Neurospora crassa OR74A: one gene and its partner. The protein of the gene in region 2 binds, or shares a complex with, the protein of the main gene of each other region. Links are inferred from orthologs where the notes say so. Each region holds a gene or a part of one and is shown on either strand. Other genes may lie near its edges.

Region 1 (8,145 bases), about 3.9 Mb from region 2:
ATGAACATCTCGTAAACAAATGCCCACCGGTTGATGCGCTCAATTTGTAGCCTGGCCTCCTCGGGAGGTTGGTCGGGGTGAGGACCGGACAGTGTCCGAAGCTGGAGCAAGAGCGCTGCCGACAAGCATACTGCGATGGTCGCGCTGCTGCCCAGGCCGGCTCCGATGGGAATCGTCGAGCGCAATGTGTACTGGCAGCCGGGGAACGACTGTGAGCCAAGGGAAAGGAACATGTAGAGGAAGGAGCCGGCCGAGTTCTGGTGCACCTTGCGAATGTCGGCGGGCTTGTCTATCGAGACATCGGCGAGGAAAGGTTGTACGGCGTCAACGAGTTCTTGGTCAATCTCGGTGACGAGACTGTAGTAGTACTTCTTTTTCCCTGGTTGTTGGAAGATCTTCCATGGGAGCTCGTCGATATTCCACGAATGATTGAAGTCGATGTCAGGGAATTTCAGCGTAACAGTTCTCTTGGACTTGGAAAGCGTGTTGACGAGCAGGTAAGATCGCAGCGAGATGGCGGCAGCAATCGCAGCCTGGCGAAGAGAGACAACCGTTAGCCTCTGGGAATCATTACCCCCTTTTCCAGCATCACCATGATCTAGGTGCTTGATCGACGTACCTTGCCGTGAACGACTGCGTGCTCTCCAAACACAATGACTTTTCCCGGTGCCGAAACCATGAACGTCGGCATCATGGGACTGGACTTTTTGCGTTCCATTCTCTGTCGTATGGGTGTTAACATGCTGTTGGTAGGAGAGCCCCCGTTGACGGCGCTGCTGGCGCTTTCTTCAATCGTCACTCTGAGACCATTGCTGGGGTTTCCGTTGACGGCCTCGCTCGCATCACCATTTACGGGTTGGTTTCTCTGCTCGGACTCGGAATGGAATCCATTGACTCCGTTGTGTTCTTGCTCTGCCATGGTCAGAGGTGGTTTTCTTTGTGCGTATGTTGTACGTAATCGACCCGAGCGTCCCTCGGTCTGTGTTCGGCGACAACAATACCAACAATGCTAAGCGGGAGGGGCCCTTCGGAGAGGGGCTCAATATACGAATCCGGCGCAATTGGGTGAACCGTGGAATCGCCAACAAGATGATGGCTGAGTACTAGTTCACGTTGAGGTAGAACTGTGCCGAGATGCCGATCTGATGAAGAGCGAGTCGGCGTAAGGCAACCGAAGCTGCCTAAATAGGTAGAGATATGTAATATATCGAAGGCCTAGAGAAATTGGGGGCTCAAGACGACAGATTGGTCCCAAAGCAACTGAGGGTATCGCAGCGTAGGGATGTTGGTAAACAAGCGGGCGAGATGGAGGTTGTTGATGTACTGCCGATCTTTTTCTAGCTCGAGTCTGCAAGGTCCAGATGACGGATATTTAGGCGGAGGCTGCGAACGAGTGCAATTGGTGTTCCTGATACGCCAGACGACCACAAGTTACACAAGGTGACAAGTCCCAGTATGTTTGCGATGGAAGTAATCTTGCAGACGTGCCGTGTTGAGGTTGCGCAAAGTGACAGTTTGAAGGCGGCGGGCGCTGTCACGGTGTGTACAGACTTGGGTTGATTGGGTGCCGAGGGGTTGCCAACTTGAGATTGCAGCAACTGCGGCGGAGAGAATGTACCCCGTTACGTGGGGATAGCAAAGCCAGAGGCGGGGAGCTGTTATGTACTCCAGCAGAAGAGGGTCAGTGGGCTCTGATATCTCGCTCTTTTTTTTTTTTTTTTTTTCTTTCTTTCTTTCTTTCTTCTTCTTCGTACTTTACGGCAATGGTGCCTGATGCTATTCTTCTTTCTCCTGCTGTCCGTTACGCCCGAACCTAAGCTATCTACGCCTAATCAGAACTCTTTGCTGTTGGAAATCTCAGCCCACACGCCGAAGCCGTTACATACTTTCCACGCTGAAAAGGGGTTGTCATCATGGACTTTGACTGACAGGGGTGGAGGCTTTTAGCTTTAGATTTCCTTCTCACGGCCGCTGATTGGCGCTTTCTGGCTTCTCAACACGACGCTAGCTTCCGGTGAACTGGACAACGCCTCGAACAGGGAGGGGGGAGCATCGGGAGATCACAGAATAACAGGGGCTCAGGACAAGGGGAGCTCTACAGTTCTGCTCCCCAAGCTCCTCACTCAACTGACAGCTGCCCCATCGTCAGTTGAGTCTAGACTGCAAAGGCGGCGTGTGGCATCACCCAGAAACTCGCTTGGTCCAGGACAAACATCAGGCAGAGTCTTGGAGAACAACAAGAGGCTTCAAAAGTCCAAATCTTTGCCAAAGCTTTGAATTCCAATTGACATACACTACGTCGGATGGTCACCTGAACTTCCCCTTGTCTCGTGGGTTTGTTAGCTCATTCCTGGCTACATATCTCTGGGGCCTTGATGACAGCCTCATTAGTGGGTGGGTTCGACATGTTTGTCGAAGTGCATACATGAGTTGGCATCATGCACCGAAACCCGAACACTGGCGATGCCCGACTCTATCAAAGATCGTGGGCCCATTTCTCGTCATGTATACGACATCAGCAGGGATTTGATTAAGACTGTCCAGAAGAGTCGCAAGAACTCATTATCGCATCCATACCAGTGTTTCTTCTTACATACATCTAGCCTCAGATGACGGCCGGCAGAGCCTCTATTGATGTTGGTTGAACGACAGGGCATCATAATGATTCTGTTCTTTGGGAAGTGGGGACGCGGATGGCATGATTTATAAAGCAGGCGCATATTGTCTACTGTGTATGGTGTCCCAACTGTGCCGCATGATTACGAATTTGGAGGTAGCCTAGCTTGCGTTTCGTATCGTCCCGAATGAGCGAGTCCGAATGAACTACAACCATCACACATAAAAGCTGTGTACGGATTCAAGTTTTGCTGCATTTTGAAGCGTTCAGACCGCCAAGCTCACAACCTGGCTTTATCACTAACGCAGAACATATTTCGACGATGACTGTCACTGAAATTGCCATCATCCAAGTACACACCGGGATCACCGACTCTACCCTCCGAGATACCTTCAGCAGGGCCATCACTGCCCAAGATGCATGGTACGCTCGCGCCTTTCCCGACCGCCCCTCTTCCGCCTCGGCACGGGCCGTGGCTTGTTTCCGGGGGATCGACGACGAGACGCAGATACTTCTAACAACGAGTTGGGGCTCGGTGGAGGAGCATTGGGCATGGATCCTCAGCGACGATAACAAGCAGCAAATGGAGGGCTCAGACTTGACCAAGATCATCGCAAATCAAGGGCCGCCCAACCAGCCAGGCGGACTGATTCTTTTCCACTTGGATACGAACATCTTTGGGAATAACCAGGCCACTACCGCCAAAGACGTGATTGCACTCCTCGATAGCCCGGTCATCAGTGTCGAGAGATTCTTGGTCGACACTGAAAAGAAGGAGAGCTTTGCCGCAACGCTGCAGAAGGTGGAGGCGAGTATGGAAAAGGTCGTGCATCCTCACTTGGTCAGAAGCGGGCGCAGTGTCGATCGCGAGACGGGAGGTGAGGAGTTCGTATTGGTTTCCGGGTGGTCCTGTGTCGAAAGTCATACGCAAGAGTTCGTTGCGTCGTCTCAATCTTTCCTGTACAGTCAGCTTGCTGGTATCGCTTCGTCGGTGGAAACACAGCACTACAGACGGTTCCTGTAGTGCCCTCTTTGTCACTTTGACACTTGGTTGGGAAAATGCGCAAGTCTGGGGTCCAAGAATTGGTCGCTCATGAATGTGTATTCAGACCCTCTGCAAGGGGTTGGTTTGCGGTCGGTGAGACCTTGACAACTAAAGAGTCATCACGCTGCTCCGAAGACCTGCACCTGCTCTCGCAAGTACTCCTGTTCCCAATCCCATGAAGGTTTCCCCCGATCCGAGAACGCCGTCTTAGTTCGCGAGAATTAAATGTCCAGCACCAGAACCAGGCAGTTGAAAATCGTCATTCACTCGCTTCCCGTTCGCGCCAAAGCAGCCATCAGTTCCTCATTGTCGAGAGATTTAAGCAGTCTGCTTCTTGTTGCGCTTGGCAACGTCGGCGATGGTCAGGGCTGTAGTTTCGCATGTCAGTTCCATCCTTTTCTCGCAACTGCTTTTTTTCCGGTTTGTCCATCTCTCTCTCGAGCTATTATTCGGGGGTCGGGGAGCGCGTACAAGGAGGGAGGGAAGCCTTGAGCTTCTCAGCCTTGTCGGAGTCCTTGAGAACAAGGGTGTAGAGGTACTTCTGGCAGCGGACCTTGAACTTGATCTGCTGAGTAGCCTTGTTCTTCTTAATCCGGGCGGCTGTTGGATCAAAGCGTCTCTGTTAGAATTTCGTTCGGTTTTCGCTACGGTGTTTTCTCAGGCAGGCCCTCAGCCAAACGTACCGGAAGCGTCCTTGCGCCGGCAGATCTCGATGAACTGTAGTTGAAATCAAAGTCAGCAAAACAGCCCATTTGCACCATGCATGCACAAATTCAGCATGACGACGGGCATTTCCGTACCTTCTTGATATCTCCGATTTCCTGAGGCATTTTGGCGACTTGGTGCTGGACTTCCCGTACTTGTGGTGACGACGACAACGGAGTTCAGGAGCGTGGATGAATTTTAGGTACTATGGAAATAATTTTGTGTGGGTTTGGGGCCTGGGCGGTGCGAGTGGCTTGGTGGGGATGCGTGCGGGCAATGGGCCGCTAACGCGATGCACCCTTGTTTCCGCTGTCACTTCCGCCAGATCACACCTGCCGACGTTAGCGCAAGCTCCAAGTGTGGCTGATGCTGCACTTTTGGTAACTGCGTCGACTTTGGGAGATGCAGTGACACAGGGAGCTCGTGTGGCGTCGACTTACCTCAGTCGCAGGCAGTCACCATTAGACCATCTGGAACATCTGACGGGATTGCGCGGCAGTTCGCCTTCAAGCTCGGTCGCATCTGGTCGAGGCCTCGGGAGGACACGATTCCAGTTTGTGTAATCCAGATAGTATATAATCAAAAACTAATCACGCGGTCCTAATTGTAGAGCTTCTTTTGTTCCAAACCAAGTGCCACCTCATCAGACAACTCAGTTAGGGCGTTAACGTTTTGTAGTAGTGCGTCTACCCCTCTTGCCTTACCACCACTTATAACGAAGACAACCCTTTTCCGAACTACTCGATATGCCCACGGCACTAGATAAAGCGTTGAGATCACGAGTGAGTACCTCTTCACAACAACACAACATCCCGAAGCAATCATGCTTGTCGAATCTCTTCTGATAGTTTCCGCGAGCAAGAACGCATTTCTTGGTGAGCTTCTTTTTTAACAGTCGGGCAGTCGACCGAAGCTTGACTAACCCCACATAGCATTCGCCGGCATCGTGACGGGTGTCGCCGCATGGTCTATCTTTGGAGGCGAAGTGTTTCCTCAAGACCAGGCTGACCCAAAGGGCAATCCTGAAGAATGGACTCGCGAGGAGATGCGCAGATGGCTTGCACTGGTGAGTTTTCAAGTTTGTTAGAAGCTGACGCAGAACTCGAAGCTAATGTTGTGAGCTAACTTTGATGATCACCAGCGTAATCTTCATCCACAAGATTCGGACACCCGGGAGCAGTTACTGGAAAGGATCCAAGCGAACTTGAGAATCCCAAGACAGTGAACTGGTCGTGCTGGAGAAATCGGAGGAGCCCTATGATATGTTTATACCCCTTGAAGAATACCTAGCCTGCATTTATCTCTGTTCCATGTTCTTGAGGACATTACTATCTTCATAGCATGCTGCCCGGCGATGGTGTCGTCAGCTGGCTAGAGGACACATGGCTGTTGAATCCTGTTCTCCCATCGTACTTGCATACTCGTGATCCTAACCGCTAAATACAAGATCATAAACCGGAAGCCACACGATATGACTACATACTATAGACATCGGGAAATGCGCCTTGATGACAACAGGAAACACTGTTATGTTCGGAGATCTGTAGGGTGACCCGGCAACATGCGAACAATCCAGCGTTGCGTCCGGGTTCGCGGCGGGGGAACCTCTACGACCGGGCTTATCGATAAGATTTACCGAGCGGGGCGAGCGCAAGGAGAAGTAGCCCGACCCAATCAGCATGTGTAACTTCTAGTGTTGGCGACTGCGCCATACACAGCAGGGTACGTAGCGGTACATGCCTGCAAGGAAGCTCCAAGCGAAACTGGGGCAAGGACAGGTTGTTGTTACTGTTTGTACCTTGCCTGGCATTGTGCTTATAACCAATGCGGCGGACAATCTGACACGGTCTTTTGGCTTTCATTGTTCCAACAAACAAACATTCCATTTGCGCATTCGGCGGAGCCTCTAGTAGACACGCCCTTATTGCGCGACGATGGAGTTCCTTCAGGTACGTTTTGCGAAATCCTTCTCCTCTGACATCCAAGGCGTGCACCGGCTAACATGGCACTCTCAAAACGACAGCGTCTCGCGAGGTTCCTCGACCGGCCTCTCTTTCCCTGGAAGAAGCTGATCATCGGCTTCTCCCTCGCCAACTACTTCATCGAAGGTTTCCTCGGTTATCGTCAGTATCAGGTCCTCAAGAAGACCAAGGTCCCCAAGGTGTTGGAGCATGAGGTGTCCCAGGAGGTCTTTGACAAGAGTCAGGTACGATATCCCCTAGGCTACGGGCCAACCGGCCACCATTCTCTGACACACGATACAGGCATACGGACGCGCCAAGGCAAAGTTCGAGTTCTTCAGCGGTATCTACGGTCAAATCCAAAACATCTTGTTCTATCAGTTCGACGTCCTCCCGAAGCTATGGTCATTCGCCGGCAACCTCCTCGTTCGGTTCGCGCCAGCCAGGTTCTCCGGCGAAATCTCGCAATCTATCGTCTTCGTCCTGTCCTTTGTCGTCATCTCCCAGATTCTCTCGCTACCGACTAGCCTCTACCACACTTTTGTCTTGGAGGAGAAGTTCGGTTTCAACAAGTCGTCTGCCAAGCTTTGGATTACCGACAAGATCAAGTCCCTCTTCTTGACCTTCGTTCTCACGCCTCCGATCCTCGCCGGCTTTTTAGCTATCGTGCAAAAGACTGGAAACCAGTTCTTCTACTATCTCTGGGTTTTCGTCGCTGGTCTCCAGGTTGTCATGATCACCATCTACCCGATTTTCATTCTGCCTCTGTTTAACAAGCTCTCTCCTCTTGAGGAGGGTGAGCTCAAGAGCAGCGTGGAGGATCTCGCCAAGAAGCTCAAGTTCCCCCTCTCCGAGTTGCACGTCATTGATGGCAGCAAGCGCAGTGCCCACAGCAACGCTTATTTCTTCGGCATGCCCTGGAAGAAGCACATTGTCATTTATGATACCCTAATTGAAAAGAGCGAGACCCAGGAAGTTGTTGCCGTTCTTGCACACGAGCTGGGTCACTGGAAGTTGGGTCACACCACTAGTCTCTTTGGCATCTCCCAGGTAAGCTGATGCTGCTTTGTTATCCCGCTGTTTACCACGAATTGTGATTGACAATGCATAGGCCCACTTCTTCGCCATTTTCTCTCTCTTCTCCGTTTTCATCAACAACAACTCCCTTTATGCCGACTTTGGCTTCCACACGGTGCACCCTATCATCGTTGGATTCCTTCTCTTCTCGGACGTCCTTGGCCCTACCGACACCCTCATCAAGCTGGGCATGAATGTTCTCAGCCGCAAGTTCGAGTTCCAGGCTGATGAGTTCGCCAACAAGCTTGGCTACAATGCGGAGCTCGCTCGCTCCTTGATCAAGCTCCAGATCCAGAACCTCAGCACTATGGATGCTGATTGGATGTTCGCCACTTACCACTTCTCGCACCCCATTTTGACCGAGAGACTGAAGGCTCTCAACTGGCAGTCCACTGGAAAGGTTGAGGGCAAGGAGAAGGCCAAGGATGGTGAAGAGAAGATTGATGTTGCTACTGCCACTGGGCGGGATGAGCTCTAAGCCAGTGAAGGATGATGCAAATGAGAAGGTGGATGAGGAATTGATAAATAAGGCTGACATGCGCGGGATCACAAATCAAAGGAAATCAGCACACTCAGCGAAGAGTACCCTACTCTATATTGCTTTTAAATCTTCAATTTTTGATAGACAATCTAGAAAGAATCTGGCTTCCATTACTGAACTGAACAGGACGGAGTTCATCAACCTTGAACCTGGAACTTGTTATGCGGTTCATTACCGAATGCAGACCATATTGTCGAGG
Region 2 (9,200 bases):
TGGTGGTGGGATTGCGGAAGTGTACATGGGATGGAAGAAATGTCGTAGGAATGTTGTGGGAGTATTGGAAATTGGGGATTTGGTGCGCGGGATGTGTGCGAGACTTCCTAGTCATCTAGGTAGGTACTTTTTTTTTTTTTTTTTTTTTTTTTTTTTTTTTTTGGTTGTTTTTCCTCTGGTGATTCCATGATTAGGTGTAGGATGAATAGACCTTTAACCTTTTATCTTTTTCGGGTCCTCCGCTCGTTTTATGGCCTTCTGCACCAGCTTCTCCCTCAGTTTCGTCCCCCTCATATTCCCAGTAACGAGTAGCTGTTAGTGGATCAACACCAACAACACTTACCTATCTACGATTTCAGTCCTCGCTTGCTTGCTGAAATACAAAGTCTCTGCACACTTCTTCCTCTCTCAGCCAGCCGAGGTTAACCCTGCCTGTCGAGAGATCCCCAAGATATATATTTCGAACCCGGGACCACGCCAAACCCAGGGCACTTACTCGGAAGAACATCCAGTGTCCGTCCATATTCCCATCCTTCATCTGCTCTCTCATACTCCCTTTCAACTGTATCTCCTAGTGCCAGAATTCGAACCAGAACCAGGTCTAGAGCCGGAACTACTCCTCCTCGAACTCAATCTCAAACCATAAACACTCGAACATCATCATACCGCCGGTACCATCACTGTCGTCCAACAAACCTTTAACAGGCAACAAATCCCCACCCACCATCTCAGGAGGAACTCCCTCCGCAACATCAATCCAGATGGAACCCACCACTACTACTACTACTACTACTACCACCACCACCAAACCCATCACGCAACCCCTCAATGCAGAGGATTCCAAACTGGACCACCTCTTTCCTCCTCCTGCTACTGTCATTACTACTCAGTCGATGGAGACTACTCCCGCTGCTGATACTTCTCTCAAGACAAACACGGGGGCTAATACGAAGAGATGTCAGTCCAAAAGACTTCCACCACCACCATTTGGCAAGACGACATCCGACAACGACAACGACAACGACAAAGGAAGTAAGGAGAGTAATAATAATAATAACAACAATAACAATAACAATAACAATACAGAGGCGTATAATGCCTTTTGGGGCAAGTTGATTGGGATTACACCCGACAACAACAACAACGACAAAAGCAAGGAGAATAATGATAATGATAAGAATGAAAATGATGATGAAAATAATAATGAAAATAATGATACAGAGGCGTATAATGCCTTTTGGGGCAAGTTGATTGGGGTTGTCCTGCCGAAGGATGGTGGTGATTAGAGGTAGGTGAGGGAAGGGGAAGGGGAAGGGGAAATGCGGAGAGGGGGACACAGGGAAGAGGGGACACAGGGGAAGGGGAAATGCGGAGAGGGGACTGGACACAGGGGAGAGGGGTCACTCAGGGGAGAGAGAGTGTGTGTGGGTGTGAGAATTTGTAGGTAGATGTTGGGTTTCTAGGTCAGGTAGGGCAGGACTTGGACATGGACATGGACCTGCTCTACTGTGGAGGAACAGGTAAAGATGCATTATGGTCGGTTTTTTTCTTCTAACAGTTCTCTTGACGGTTTTTTTGATACCTAGTCATCAGAGGTAGGTCGGTATAGTGGAAATTGTTATCTCGTTTTGCTTCGTTGGGGTTGGTACCTCAAGCCAGACAAAGTAGGGGCACGCCGTATTGGGGCTGTAGCCAATCAGTCAGTCAGTCAATTAGTCAGTCACTTGGCCTTCAAAACACCAACATCCATGTAGGCTTCATTTGTCCCATGTTGTCAGTCAGCCAAAAGGCGATATAGCAGCTGTATTGATTGCCGTTGCCGTTGCCGTTGCCGTTGCCGTTGCCGTTTGCTGTCCTGGCTGCGAAGTGAAATGTGAAAAGACATTTGGGTATTACTGACTGCATGCAGATGTTGCGGAAAATAGGCATGAAGAACCAACATGCCTCCAACGAGGGGGAAGCATATCGAGTTGTGTACGGTCTACTATGTAGAGATGAGACGGGTAATTAAGGATGCATCATCATGGGCGGTTCTCTTAACTGTGGTTTGGCGGTTAACTTGATGATTTCAGCCCAGTCGTTTTTTAGGCAAACCGGACGAGTTTCTCTATCTTTATGCATAAGCAGCTCTGTTAAGGTGGAATGGATATCTATGAAGAGTTAACAAGAAACATACTTTTGGTAAGCCAGCAGTGTGGTCGAGTGTCTTCAGTGATGGTGCTTGAAGCTTCGGTTCCGTTATGAACTTCCCTTATCTTATCAAGTATATGAACCCACATCTGCAGTAGACACGGCAGAAGACGTTCCAGCTAGGGTTCACAAAGTTATATCGCAGGATCGTCATAAAGCGGGACGAGAGACGACATATTCGACGACTTTGATTCGGCGCCTGTACTGTGAGCCTTCATCCGTGTTGACATAAGGCTGTACTGTTTGCGTCTGGTCCCCTTATCTTATCGCCAGGCACGCTGTTGACTTTCGATAAGATCTACGTCTGGGATCAGTGGGATACGAATCTGGAGATTGGCATGGGAATGGAGTCATGGCCAGCAAGGTACACACGAGGCTGTGCGAAATCAAAGTGAACGCGACTGGAGCGCGTCGCAAACGGAGATTGTGTTGACAACTCGGGGTGATGTTTGGGTTTCAAGAAACGCAGGTGAAGATGACGTCGTATCATGACAAAGTAAACAAACACGAGTCGTAAACACTAGCCCAAGTTGGAATCAGTAACAGATAATTTGTCTTATCTGCCTTTTCTTGAGTTTGTACCAGCTCATCTTCCAAAACGGTGAGCAGGAACCTCAGGTCCGGGTATCAATCGACCATCAAGATCCGGGCGCGCTGTCGGTCGTAGAGTCGGATGTCTGCTACGGTGGAAATCCGTCGCTTCAACAAGTGGAGAGCAAGCTTCCAAGTGTTTTTACTTCTTTTGCTCAAAAGCGCATCTTCATTGTCCGTGTAAAGCTACGCCGATGAACCGAACCCCTGATATCATAAGCCTCCCATAACCGAAGTCGTATGTGCGAGAAACCGTCGCAGACCCATGCAAGCTTTGGAAGAACAAATTGGAAACGAGAGGTCATGACCAAACCAGAAGAAAGCCCCCTTTCTTCGCTTAGTCGAAGAGACCGAAGCCCATATCCTCGTCGGACTCCTCCTTCTCTGTAAAGTGCAAAACGCAGGTTAGTAACTAGCAGCAGCAGCAGCAGCAACAGCCCCGGGAAAGAGCTTGGGAGTAGATGATTCCACATACCCTCAACCTTCTCCTCAGCCTTGGCCTCCTCAGCGGCACCACCAGCGGCAGCGGCGCCAGCGGCAGCGGGGGCAGCGGCGGCACCACCGGAGCCGACGTTGGAAAGGAGGTCCTTCACATCCTTGCCCTCAAGAGCCTATTTTCGCAAAAGAGACTCCAGTCAGTTTATCGTGTTCGCGTTTCTCTCAAGATATCGTTTCTTTTTTTTTTCGGATTGTCGTCGTCGGTGGTTTCATCGTACCTTGGCGAAGAGGGAAGCCCAGATAGGCTCGACATCCTCGATCTTGGCAGCCTTGATGATGGTCTGGATCTTGTCGGCCTATATCATGCGAAAACGGGTTTGGTCAGTCAACATTGTTCCTCCCAATGTGCTTGTTCATATCACTCATTGTCCTCCACTCGGTTTGCCCCTCAATCCATGTTTCGTCATTTGTCCCGGTCGTTGAAAGCGCATGTCGAGCAATAACCGTGTGTACATGGCGCGCTTGAAACTGTCCCCAAACCCCGAATCCACCCAAATCTTGCCAACCAAAAGATCATGTGCATTGGTCGCAAACTCACAGTGATCTCAACGCCGTCATCGGCGAGGATGAGCGCCGCGTAGGAGGTAGCCAGCTCAGCAGTAGACATTTTGATGGTGTTGATTGTCGAGGCGCAAAGATGCTGAGTCTCGGGAGGGCTGTTCGATCGTGGGATGATGTCCTAGCTAGAAATTCGCGGGAAGTGAAATTTAATTAGTTGTGGGCAATTCAAAAAATGCCCTGGGACCCTACAAAGGCGGGCAGCTGGCAAGCGACTGGCAGCGGCTTGGATGCCAAGACTCTTTTGAGCTGCCGTTCTGCTTTTTGCCTGGTCTGTGCACGCTGGGAGATGGAAATGCAACAGCCCCACGATGTCACGGTCCAAACCAGCGGTTCAGTTCGCAACCCGAACCCGAGGGTTGGTGGTACTGTAGGTAGGACTGGGTGCAGGGCAGTGCTGCCCTGACTGCCGCTACCGCCCAACAGGCACGTGCTGGCCTCCAGGGCATTGCCGTCCCTCGCACTTGTACCGGATCGGGACGACTGATGTTCCCCCACCAGTTGACCATAGTGTATGGCCTGGAATTTGGGGAAGCACCTCATCGATTCAGGCCGGGCAGTTTGGCGCCCAGCCTTGCCAAGACGAGTGCCCTGGTCCGACAAGCTTTCCGCCAGGCCTCGACCCTTGTCGGCAAGAACCCCACCATTCCTTTGGCACTACACTATCTACCATGGAGCTCCTTCGCCCCGCCGCTATTCATGCATCCACTGACGTCGCCGCTGTGGATTCGGGGCGCCATAGGCCTCTTCTCCTGCCGTAGCGGAGTGCCTGCCGACACGCCAGCCCGTCCCGTCGGGTTGTCTCTGAGAAGCATCCATCTGCACCTATTTCAGCACTCAGTCCAGCAATTCCGCAAAAACCAACAAGAGTGAGATCAACAAGGGAAAGCGCACGAATCAGGAGGCAGCGTTCATCACTCTTGTCAACTCCTCCGTCGGAAAGGGGAAATACCATAGTACTTGGAGAAACGCCATCAACCGGACAAACAACTGAACTTGCATCCCGCTCTCTTTGCCATTGTTGAGGCGCATTACATTACATAGACCAAGTCTACTCCTTGGATCAAAGAAAGCTGGACTTGGACAAGGAATCGCCCGTTTCCAACATTCATTCCCTTGCTCCGGCAACACCATCCTTTTCCCAATTGCTTGGCTGCGTCTTTCCCATTCTCAACAATCCTTTCGCGCCTTTTCTTTTCCTTCAACCAACATCGACCCTCGAACGGCATCATCCAAGTAACGAAAACGAGCCAACTCTCAGACATCGCAACCGACTTCACCGACTTTTACCCATAAACACCCAACACAAAACAACACAACACAACACAATAAACACATAGCGACAATGGAGACTCCGGCGATGCCCATGCCGAAAGATGAGCGGGAACAAGCCATTCTCGACAAGCTCTCAGCCATCCGCGATCAGCTGCTGCTCCTCAAGAGAGACCGAACAAAATACATCCGCACTCAGGATGTGATTGTACACTATGATCAGGTTGTCGAGCAGGTCAAGGAACTCAACGAGATTAGGAAAGGGGAAAAGGTGACCGAGACCAGAGGTACGCCCATCCTCCATAGCCCATCCCAAGCTGCCAATTGAACAAGGAAAATCTAACACCACCCCCGTAGTCGACAGAGTCCTCGAGAGCTGCCTACAGCTCCTCTCCCTCTTCTTCATGACCATCGGCCGCACACAAGAAGCCCCTGCCGCCTATGCGTTGACCTCGACCATCAAGCGATTACTCGACCACCTGACCGAGGCCGACCTCTACTCAGCCAAAGACCTGAACAGCATAGCCCACACCCTCTCGCAGCTCGACAAGATCATGACGGCCTCGGACCCCTCCGCCCACTCGCCCTACATTGTTGAGCTTTTGGCCAACCGGCTGGAGCTCTGCCATAGCTCGCTGGATAACCTGAAGAAGAGGGTGGACGAGCTGCAGGACCCGCTACAGAGCATGCATGAGAGGCTGATCTCCATACTACGGTCCATGTCACTTGCGAACACCAAGGCCAAGGTAAGGACGCACAAGGGCGGACGGATACGAGAATGGTAAGCTAACAGGTCACACAGTTTTCGGCATCAGAGGTCCAGAGGCTACAAGCGCAGGTCAAGGAGATTGACGAGTCGAGGGTGGATGGCAACTTTGTCGGGCCAGACGGCCAAGTTCTTCGTGGTAGCGAGAGGGTATCGCGCCTAGTGGATGTCTGCCTCAGGTGGTCTGACATTGTTCTTGAAAGGTACGTACAACTATCCCACATTTCACTGCCAGCCAGTTCCTGACCCCCACCTTAGGAAAGGAGTTATCCCCGAGGCCTTCAAGGCTAGGCACGAGCAGCTTGTCAGCATCCGTAATGAGCTCGAGAAGCTGTCCATCACCCAGGCCTGGTCACTGCGCGAGACGGACCTGTACGACTACCAGCGCAAGCTCGACAAGATAGATGAGAGCCGAGTGGATGGCAACTGGCTGGACGACGAAGGAAAGCCCGCCGAGCTGTACGTCCAGCGTACGCTGCTGTACCTCATCAGGAGGAGCTATGGCTACATCTACTACCTGATGATCTCGTCGGAGCCGGTATCGGAGGCTCTGCTGCCCATCTATAACCAGCTCCAGACGCTGAAGCGGTGCCTGATCGAGGTGAAGGACTCGGGCGGTGTCAGCTCGGTCAGGGAGCTGTATCCCTACAGCATGAAGGTATGTTTGTCAATCTTTGCCCCATGGGCACTGGACAGTGATTAACGTTGGATTACAGCTCAACTCCATTGACAACATGCGCGTCGATGGCAAGTTCATGGTTGGCGGCGATATACCCGAGGGCCAAGGGAGCGTCAGCGCTTTGCTGGCTGAGTGCTACGATCTTTCCTATGAGTTGAAGGTCATGGCTGAAGAGATGGAGGAGAAGGAGAAGGATAGCTCCTCGTAATCGATTGACCCTGAGCGAAAGTTTCGATATCATAGACTTGAGGGCTTTACGGCATTTTGTACTGAATAGTTGTGGTTTCCTTTTGTTTTTTCTCATCCAGCGGCGTCTGCTTTTACTTATACACAATATGGGATGTTGAAGCGAAAGGACTCTTCACCACCAGATACGCTGCATCATTTCTCTATTGTTGGCTGACAAGCTCGCAGCTAAAACTTGACTTTTTGTACGTTTGTCTGGCGATGAGATCATTACGGCTGCTCCCTCCCCTATCTGATCTTTGATGCATATTACCTCCTTATATTACCTAGAAGCAGCACACAAAAGAGAGCACAATGTCGGTCCAAGGAGCATGAAGAGACGCGTGAAGGCTTAATGCGACTGCAGTCACAGCTTCCGTTTGTCGAGGGTTGTTTTGTCTCACGCCTCCCGCCAATTGTCCGTTCCTTCCATGATATCTTCGAGTCTCTGCTGTTTCTTAGTTCTTACGACAATCGCATCCACGTTGCATATCCATTAAGCTGTCGCGCCGCCTTTCTACTACCTTGTCAATCCTTTCCCATCTTTTACTTTCATCTCATCACCGCACACACACACACACACACACACAGAGAGAGAGAGAGAGAGAGAGAGAGAGAGAGAGAGAGAGAGAGAGAGAGAGAGAGAGAGAGAGAGAGAGAGAGAGAGAGAGAGAGAGAGAGAGAGAGAGAGAGAGAGAGAGAGAGAGAGAGAGAGAGAGAGAGAGAGAGAGAGAGAGAGAGAGAGAACCATTCTCCTCGGGAACAAACTACCCTGGAGAAAACATGCTGAAATTTGGAGAATCCCGTCCCAGCGTCTTTGCTCTTGCTCTTGTTCTTGCTCTTGCTCTTGCTCTTGCTCTTGCTCTTGCTCTTGCTCTTGCTCTTGCTCTTGCTCTTGCTCTTGCTCTTGCTCTTGCTCTTGCTCTTGCTCTTGCTCTTGCTCTTGCTCTTGCTCTTGCTCTTGCTCTTGCTCTTGCTCTTCCTCGAAAGAGAATAATTCCTGTGTGACTGTACCGTGACGTTGGCAAACCGACGAAATGAGTGAGGGAGTGAGTCGAAACACGGGAAGGGGAAGACGGACGGACGGACCTCTTTCGTTGACCGGGGAAGTATGGAAGGTGGCACGGTGACGGTGATATTGAATGGTCTAACACGTGGATGATTTCACCGAGGCAGGCGGACGAAAAGGAAGGAAAGATGTATGTAGCCATGTAGTCTAGAGCAGGATGGTGCGTGGGCAATGGCAAGGGAGTGTTAGCTCCGATGCTTGATGGATGAACTACGTTAAATGGTGGCTTGGGAAATTTGTCTTTGGGCGATGTGTCTGTATACGGTATGTCTCCGTCAGTTTACATGTTGATGATCACGTAACTGCATGCTTGGATATGGTCTAGTAGAGTTTAAGTAAAAGCAGTTAGGTAGTATTGGTATCAAGCTATATCGACTAACTGACGAGAACATTATCAAAGGGAGAGACAAAGACAAATCCCATTACACCCATCATCACCCATCTTTAACATCAACACAACATGTCAAACATGAAGGCATGGAAACAAACATAACGTCGTATCTAAATAGCAAGTCATCAAAAGGTAAAATCATAAAGAAGAGTATCCAAAGCAAGAAAGAAACTGAGAGAAAAGAAAGAAATGACAAAGTAAGAAAATGATCATTAATCATCATCAGTCATCGTCCCATTCCATCCCATCCCATCCCATCCCATCGGTATCCATCATCTTCGTCCATCATCATCAACCATTCCATCATCAACACCATACTTAGGTACCCAACATCAACTCGTCAGACATCCAGCACCACCACACATCACACCCGTTAAACCCCAAGTTTCGCCATCCCCAACCTCCTCCTGCTCCTCCTCTTCGGCTTTGAACTTTCCACTCCCACCTCACTACCCTCCATCAACCGTCCACTCAACAACCCCATGACCAACCCCGCCCAACTTCCTTTACCCTCCAACACCCCCTCCACCTTCCTCACGATCCTGTCTACCGCCTGCGCGTCCGTCCCGCTGACACCCCACTGTCCCGTACCAGCGATCTGCTTGAGTCCGTTCCCGTGGTGATCATGGTAGAGGAACTCGCCTCTTCTCGAATGAAGTTTACCATCGCGGGGATCACGAGAATCCAACGGTTGGCCGTCGGGTGTGAATCGGTCTGGGAGGATTTCGAGGGTTGCGTCGCTGTCGGTGTTGAAGTCGTCCTTGTGACGGGTTGAAGGAGAGCGGTCACGGCGAGATAAAGCGTTGGAGGAGGAGGAAGATTCAGGAACATGGACAGGGGTAGTAGAAGAAGAAGAAGAAGAGCGGTATTTAGCGGGCACCAAAGCGTTGAGTTCTCTGTCGAGACGGTCTTCAAAGTCCGAGATGTCAGAGGTATCTTTATCGGGGTCGACGCCCGAGCC

Evidence for each region.
Region 1: NCU08960 (region 2) and NCU03635 share a complex: the UniProt entries of both Saccharomyces cerevisiae proteins name them as parts of the large ribosomal subunit. The link is inferred for Neurospora crassa OR74A from reciprocal best matches to the Saccharomyces cerevisiae genes RPP1A and RPL38.

Annotation. Positions count from the first base shown.
Region 1 is NC_026505.1:1,906,085-1,914,229, forward strand, and holds NCU03635 (60S ribosomal protein L38), read right to left. Parts: upstream 4,608-8,145; 5' UTR 4,493-4,607; coding exon 4,463-4,492; intron 4,380-4,462; coding exon 4,346-4,379; intron 4,263-4,345; coding exon 4,134-4,262; intron 4,031-4,133; coding exon 3,981-4,030; 3' UTR 3,687-3,980; downstream 1-3,686. Other genes in the region: NCU03633 (mevalonate kinase), read right to left, coding at 1-533, 620-919; NCU03634 (hypothetical protein), read left to right, coding at 2,940-3,641; NCU03636 (hypothetical protein), read left to right, coding at 5,191-5,242, 5,300-5,433, 5,509-5,592; NCU03637 (CaaX prenyl protease Ste24), read left to right, coding at 6,302-6,316, 6,391-6,573, 6,632-7,378, 7,440-7,883. UniProt on the Saccharomyces cerevisiae protein: Component of the ribosome, a large ribonucleoprotein complex responsible for the synthesis of proteins in the cell.
Region 2 is NC_026505.1:5,819,649-5,828,848, reverse strand, and holds NCU08960 (60S acidic ribosomal protein P1), read right to left. Parts: upstream 4,013-9,200; 5' UTR 3,887-4,012; coding exon 3,818-3,886; intron 3,576-3,817; coding exon 3,498-3,575; intron 3,393-3,497; coding exon 3,257-3,392; intron 3,166-3,256; coding exon 3,119-3,165; 3' UTR 2,306-3,118; downstream 1-2,305. Other genes in the region: NCU17038 (hypothetical protein), read left to right, coding at 762-1,286; NCU17037 (hypothetical protein), read left to right, coding at 4,013-4,207, 4,264-4,710; NCU08959 (hypothetical protein), read left to right, coding at 5,183-5,396, 5,467-5,855, 5,912-6,078, 6,134-6,533, 6,592-6,762; NCU17036 (hypothetical protein), read right to left, coding at 7,180-7,227, 7,548-7,779, 7,932-7,990; NCU08957 (hypothetical protein), read right to left, coding at 8,613-9,200. UniProt on the Saccharomyces cerevisiae protein: Component of the ribosome, a large ribonucleoprotein complex responsible for the synthesis of proteins in the cell.